Macaca fascicularis: one gene and its partner. The protein of the gene in region 1 interacts with the protein of each later gene in a pairwise test. Links are inferred from orthologs where the notes say so. Each region holds a gene or a part of one and is shown on either strand. Other genes may lie near its edges.

Region 1 (3,655 bases):
AACAGTGACCAAATAAGTTTGTGAATATAGGTAAACAAAGTTAAATAGATTTCTTTACTGCAGCCTCATACATTATGGCATATGAATTGGATTGCTGGACTTCTAACTTGGCCATGCAAGTTAAGTGAGAGTCAGTAATATGAGTGCAGCTCTGTCTTTTTCCTAATTGTTTAGTGGAAAGAGCATGGGCTTTAGAATCAGACATATCTGGGTTTGAATCCTGAGTACTCCTTAGTAGCTTTATGGCTTTATAAATTATCTAACCTTTCTGAACTTGTCTCCTCATATGTAAATCAGGCAGGATAATGCCCTGGGGAGTTGTAAAGATTATGACATTCCATATGAAAATATCAAATCGAGTATCTGATATATAATTGGTCACAAAAGGTATAACTTAAGTCTACAAATTCCAGAGTTAGTATAGAATGTAACACTTGATAATAGCTATTGATATCCTGGCTACATCTGGTGTTTGAGGTGGACTGTTTGTTGTTTCATATATACTTATAATTTTCCCCAAGAAAACAAAATATTCTTGAGGGCACATCATTATGTTTTACCGTCTACATAGCATTCGACATTCTCCTGGAGACTCAATAAGTGCTTGATAAATACCTGACAGTTTCATCAAAACAGTGGAATAAAGTGAGGTGTGGTTTTCCCTGGTGTATAGTTTATCCTATATCTCTTATAACCAAGGGTAGAAGTCAATTTATGAATAATAATTTTAAATTTTTTTGGTTACTTATGTTAAATGATTAAATTTGAAGTTTGAAATAATTAGGATTATAAGTGAACTGGCATTTATTTACTTAAGTAAACCATAGGAAGGGGGTTATAATAAAGTGTCATTTAATAGTGTAAATTATGTTATTGGAATACTAATGTTTTACATTTTGTTTTTTCTCTAAGCAAATGGTTATGAGCCTTAGAGTTTCTGAACTCCAAGTACTGTTGGGCTACGCTGGGAGGAACAAGCACGGACGCAAACACGAACTTCTCACAAAAGCCCTGCATTTGCTAAAGGCTGGCTGTAGTCCTGCTGTACAAATGAAAATTAAGGAACTCTATAGGCGGCGGTTCCCGCAGAAAATCATGACGCCTGCAGACTTGTCCATCCCCAACGTACATTCAAGTCCTATGCCAGCAACTTTGTCTCCATCTACCATTCCACAGCTCACTTACGATGGTCACCCTGCATCATCGCCATTACTCCCTGTTTCTCTTCTGGGACCTAAACATGAACTGGAACTCCCACATCTTACATCAGCTCTTCACCCAGTCCATCCGGATATAAAACTTCAAAAATTACCATTTTATGATTTACTGGATGAACTGATAAAACCCACCAGTCTAGGTAAGATTATTGTATGATGGTATTTGGTTACTTTTGCAGGATGAATTTTCATTTTAGACTTTTACTTTGACCCAGTTTATTATTCATAATGAAATTTTCATTTGATAGTAACAGCTGGATAATAATGAAGATCTTTCAAATTTAGATAAAATCAAATATATAAAAGCTATCTTTCAGAGGAAAAAAGGTAGTATATTGATGGTTACTGACACAGTAAATATTAAAAAGTTTCAAGAATATAAACTTCCAAAGAGGAGTCTTTTAGAAGATTGATTACTATTTTACAATATCTCTTATAAATTAGAAAATTAAAAGCGAGTAAGTCACTACAAGTCTCTGATTAGTTCTTAATTTTCAGGGATTGATGATCTCTAAAACAAGTCACTTACTAGTTTTGATTATTTAAATGAGTGAATGGTTTTAATGATTGTAAAAGGAGACTTGAGCTTTGATGTGTGTGGTAGTTAAATTTCAGCTGATTTTTTTCAAGTGGAGAAGTGCATGCTTTATAAGCATGCACATGCACACTCTTGATTACAGTTATATAATATAAATGCTTGAAATTTATTTTGCTGTGTTGTTACATCATTTGATTTGTAGTCTAGCATATAGAATTCAATATATTAACTTGTAATTTTAATTGGTATAATGCTACCTTATTTACTTAATGTAGAATAAAACTCAACTGTTGTGACCTCTGACGCCTTTGGTGTAATATATTTAAAATATCAGACTTCTAAATGCTGGTTTGTTGGCATACTATGGCTGGCAAGCTAAATCCAGTCTGTGACCTGTTTTTGTGTGATTCTGAGCTAAGAAATCTGAAAAATATTCCTAAAGAGTTATTAAAAAAAAAAAAAGAAAGAAAGAAAAACAAAGAATATGTACAGAGACCATCTGTGCCCGCAAAGCGCAAAATATTTACCCGTATAGTGAAAGCTTGTGAATCCCTGTTACAAATCATTGAATGTTTCAGTTTGGGGGATTGGCAAGTGTTGAGAACATTTTTTGCGAATTTTTGAGAACATTTTGAAAATGTTTTACTGAAATTCTATCTTTGAAATATGAGGTGTTTGTTCTTAATTATATGTAGCAGAATTTACCTGAGTACATGAAGATTATAGGAATCATTTGAAACAACATGAGTTTTGTATCACATTATTTCATTTTTTAAGTGGCCATAATAAGAAAACATTTTTTGAGAATCTACTGTATGCTTATAAAACTGATACATGCTCATTGTAAAAAATGGAATTGCCAAAGTCCCTTCCTTGTTAGCTGTTTAGTGTGTATGCATATATAGTACAAGCAAGTTGTTTCTTGTTTTTTTACAGAAGGAATCATATACATAGTATTGTTTAACTTCCCTTTTTTCCCCTTAATAATATATCATAAGCATCTTTTCTTGTCTGTCTGATATATATATATATCTATCTCCCATTTTAAATTAAAGGCCATATCTGTATCTATCTATATCTCTATATATGGTCTGTATGTGTACATATATGTATGTGTACATATGTGTTATGTATTGATCAGTTGATGAAAACGTTGTGACCAGGGGCTTGCAGGAACCTAACCTTATACTTCCCCTAGTAGCAGCAATTATATATTCACAAATTCAGTGTTTGTGGTGATTTTATAGAACATAACTGTCACAAATAACAATAATTGACGGATAATTTGATTTGAATGCCAGTTTCCATGAATAAATCTGCTGTTTGTGGTATGTATTCACAGAAAGTCACCAAATGAATAGGTGGTGTAGAATTGCTTAGTGGTATGTAAATAGATTTTCAGTATCTCATTGTTATAGAATTAAAAACAGACCAATTTGAATATGCATAAAAAGATCTCACCAGAAAGTAATCTGTGGAAGTTTATTGGCTCAATAAATATTTGTTGCAGGGGAATGCTTAGTGAATGTGAAAAATATTTATTGAAAAAAGATTTTATGTAATTAGTCTTCAGGGTTTATTTAGACTGAGTATATTTTAAGGCTCTGTTTTTACAGATTCTTTAACATTATTAAGACTTTTTCTGTAAATGAAGTGGCTACATTTGTCACAGAACTTAGTTTCCTAAATGATTATTTTTGCCAGTGGTTCATTTGTTTTAAATCTTTTAGAAAACCATGTTTTCTGAAAAATTTAATAGCTTCCAGCATTCTCTTTCTTTCTAAACATACATACATTTAAAATCAAGTTTTTAAGAACATAGTTTCGAACACCAGCTGGCTAGTTAATCACAGCTATCACTGAGTCCAGAATGGGACAGGCACATTTAGTTTTTCATTTT
Region 2 (3,655 bases), on another chromosome or scaffold:
CCAGAAAAATTGACAGAGAAACTGAAGCTTAGGTATGACTATACTCTCACAAAAAGGCACAGAAACTCATGCTTCGCTGCTTCCTTTATCCTAAAATGTCCTATAAAATGTGGGAAACCCTGTAATAATACCCTGGGAGCACAAGTTTTGGATCGGGTGAGAAGATGCTTGACTTCCTTCCTCCAGGCAGCCCATGGTTTAAGTTTTTATCTTGGACAAGATATCTTGTGTCTCTGCTCCTCAGTGTTCTGCTACCCATTTATCTCAGGATGCTTCAATGTATTCGTATGAAGATATGTCTCTATCCATTATGGTTACCTACACATATTACACATAGAAGGGGGTATGTGTTACATAAACGTGTCTATACATGCCTGTGTATTTTTGTGATGACCAAGTCTAGAGTCAAATACCATGATACACATTTATTATATCAGCTGGAAGGGCTTATTCCATATCATTGTTGAAATATCCTAGATTGCTAAAATTCAGTCATAATCCTATTCAATCCAATTCTGAGTATTTGTTGGGTACCAATTGCAAGACATTCCATCCAGTTGTAAACAACTGAAATTCACCTTGACTTTTCCCAACAGCAGAAGGCAGACATGCGTGTTCTGGCTACATCAAGGTGGAAATCATTCTTGTGTTCTCTTCTAGGGATCTGCTGGAGGAAGGCAAGGCCACGATTCCCTGCCTGGCAGAGAAACTTACCAGCGAGCTTATCGCACACATCTGTGTAAGCACGGGCAGAGCTGTGGGTTCTCTGAAAAGAATACTACGAACACAGCTGAACCTTGCTGGCTGCTTAAACATCGCTGTACACACAGATCTTCTGAGGATCTTGTTAAGATGCAGATTCAGATTCTGTGGGTCTGGAGTGCGGGCTAGGATTCTGCATTTCCAGCAAGCTCCCAGACGATGCGGATACTGCTTTTCAGGGGACCACAGTCTGGGGGGATGCTGACAGACTATCTCGACTGGGCCAAAATAAAAATGAAAATCTTATGCACAAGCTACTAACTCTTCCTTTCCCATTGACAACCACTATTATAATGTCTTAGTCATTCTAACGAACGTATTTTTTAACTTCTAAAAGCTTTGTAAAAGCTCTGTGGTTCTTTTTAAAAATCTGCCTGAATGTAGTCTCTTCCTTTTTCAAATTTTCTTTTTCTTTTTTTTTTTTTTTTTGAGACAGAGTCTCTCTATTGCCCAGGCTGGAGTGCGGTGGTGTGATCTTGGCTCACTGCAACCTCTGCCTCCTGGGTTCAAGCCATTCTCATACCTCGGCCTTCTGAGTAGCTGGGATTACAGGTGCACACCACCATGCCCAGCTAATTTTTGTATTTTTAATAGAGTCAGGGTTTCGCCATGTTGGCCAGGCTGGCCTTTTTCAAATTTTCAACTCAGCACCAGAGTGCAAGGTCTTCCCCGTGGTCCCCAGGAATGTGGGTGCAGAATGGGTTTGTTTTCTAGCTGACTGTGATGAGTGCAGAGCTCTTTGGGGTCCCATTGTATGCAGAAAAGGGATGGTTCCTTATTAGATTCCCCACCTCAAGCAAGCCCATGGGGTTTTTTTTTTTTGCCATTGTACCAAGTCAGGCTCGTAGGTTTACGTTTAAGTTTTCTTACCTAGACAGATGCCCTTGCGGCTGAGATAGGCTCCATTGCTGCCTCCTTCTTGAGCCCCTCCTTCGTCACTGTTACTGGGGCTGGCATCTGAGTACCCCTCACTAGCTTGTCAGCCCACCGATACATTTTAAAGGTATGGCTTTCACATGTCAGCCGGCATTTTTAGATGTTTGCTATGGAAGTGTGAGCCAGCACATGGTGTCAACCGTATTGTTAAAAACATAAGTCTCTGATCACTTTTTATTGATTGCAAACAACATAAAAGTTGTTGAATCTCCAATTGCTCCAAATGCCACTTCTTCAGAACCTACTAAACAAGTGGATCTCCCCAGTCTCCCTCCAGAGAGTTTACCTAATTCGACGACAGGAGGAACTGCCCCTGGGTCGCTCTACCAGGGCCCGGCACCCCTGCACAGTGGGTGCCTCAGTGCTGCTCATGAGGCTGCTGCCGCAGGAGTCGGGAAGGGGGAAGACCTGGGCAGAAAACAGTGCCCCTAGCGTGTGTCCCCCTGCCCCCCAGGTCTGGAAAAGCTTCCTTTTAGAGGAAGCCAGGAAGTCAAATGGCCCACACAGCTCCTATGTAGAGGGAGGCCCGGGACCTCCTTTTCGTTCCCTGTTCATCTTTATCAATTCCCATTATTTTCTCTCCATTTTCCTCAGAAATCTCTGCCGCTGTTAGAAAATCAAATCAAGGAGAGTCACCAGGGAATAACAGAGGAGCTACAAAAGTATGGTGTCGACATACCGGAAGATGAAAATGAAAAAATGTTCTTTCTGATAGACGTGAGTGTTGCCAGCTACATGGAGCCGGAGAAGCACATGTCACGGTCAGAAAAGGGGCCCTGGGCCTCACGCACTTCCTTCTTCACTCCCCCGAGGCTGATCCAAAGACATCTGGCCCGTCGCACTCAAAGGGTGGACAGGGCTGAGGGAGGCAGGGCAGGGAGTGCGGGTGTGCGGGGGGAGTCAGCAGTGAGGGATGCTCAGGCTGCATTGTGACCGCTCTGTCACGATCATTGCCCAGATCCTTAAGGCAGTAAGGGGTGGGATAGGATTTTCTGGTGCCAAAACCTCTGCTTTCCTCTGATCCACAGTGTCCCATAAGGAAGCAAAGAATGACTCCCTACCCTCCACATAGGCATGGCCTCCAAACGACCTTGACCTTGGATTTGAAGTCTATCCGCTTATACTGATGTTTTTCTTCTTGACAGAAAATTAATGCCTTTAATCAGGACATCACTGCTCTCATACAAGGGGAGGAAACTGTAGGGGAAGATGACAGCCGACTGTTTACCAGACTCCGACGTGAGTTCCACAAATGGGGTATAATAATTGAAAACAATTTGCAAGAAGGTGAGTGTCTTAGTCCCTTCTTTGAGCTGCTACAACCAAATACCTGAGACTGGGTCATTTATAAACAGTAGAAACTTATTGCTCATTGTTCTGGAGGCAAGAAATCCATTCTTAAGGAATCAGGAAATTTGGTGTCTGGTGAGAGCTTATTCCCTGCTTCAAAGATGGCACCTTCTAGCTGTGTCCTCTCATGGGATAAGGGACGAACAAGCTTCCTCAGACCTCTTTTTTACAGAGATTCCAGAGGCATACCTCAGAGAGATTGTGGGTTCAGTTCCAGACAAAACAAATATTGCAATAATGCAAGTCACATAAACTTCTTGGTTTCTGGTGCATAAACAGTTCGTTTATGCCATACTGTAGTCTACTAAGTGTGTAATAACATTAGGCCTAAAAAGTATGTACGGACCTTAGTTTAAAACACCTTATTGCTAAAAAATTGCTGATACAGAAACAAAAAGTAGCATGTGCTACCGGAAAAAATGGTGCTGATTTGCTTGACATGGGGTTGCCACCAACCTTCAATTGCAAAAAATACAGTATCTGAAGTGCCTGGAATCCCATTCATGAGGGCAGAGTGCTCATAACCCAATCCTTCCTAAAGATCTCCTCTGTTGATACCATTACACTGAGGATTGAGTTTCAACATAGGAATTTTTAGGGGACACTA

The links. The genes of interacting proteins can lie anywhere in the genome.
Region 2: the proteins of PIAS1 (region 1) and MX1 interact in a two-hybrid assay, tested with the Homo sapiens proteins (2 studies listed by BioGRID). The link is inferred for Macaca fascicularis from reciprocal best matches to the Homo sapiens genes PIAS1 and MX1.

Annotation. Positions count from the first base shown.
Region 1 is NC_088381.1:44,828,105-44,831,759, forward strand, and holds part of PIAS1 (E3 SUMO-protein ligase PIAS1), read left to right. Parts: intron 1-912; coding exon 913-1,357; intron 1,358-3,655. UniProt on the Homo sapiens protein: Functions as an E3-type small ubiquitin-like modifier (SUMO) ligase, stabilizing the interaction between UBE2I and the substrate, and as a SUMO-tethering factor. Catalyzes sumoylation of various proteins, such as CEBPB, MRE11, MTA1, PTK2 and PML.
Region 2 is NC_088377.1:5,565,488-5,569,142, reverse strand, and holds part of MX1 (interferon-induced GTP-binding protein Mx1), read left to right. Parts: intron 1-660; coding exon 661-739; intron 740-2,292; coding exon 2,293-2,415; intron 2,416-2,843; coding exon 2,844-2,985; intron 2,986-3,655.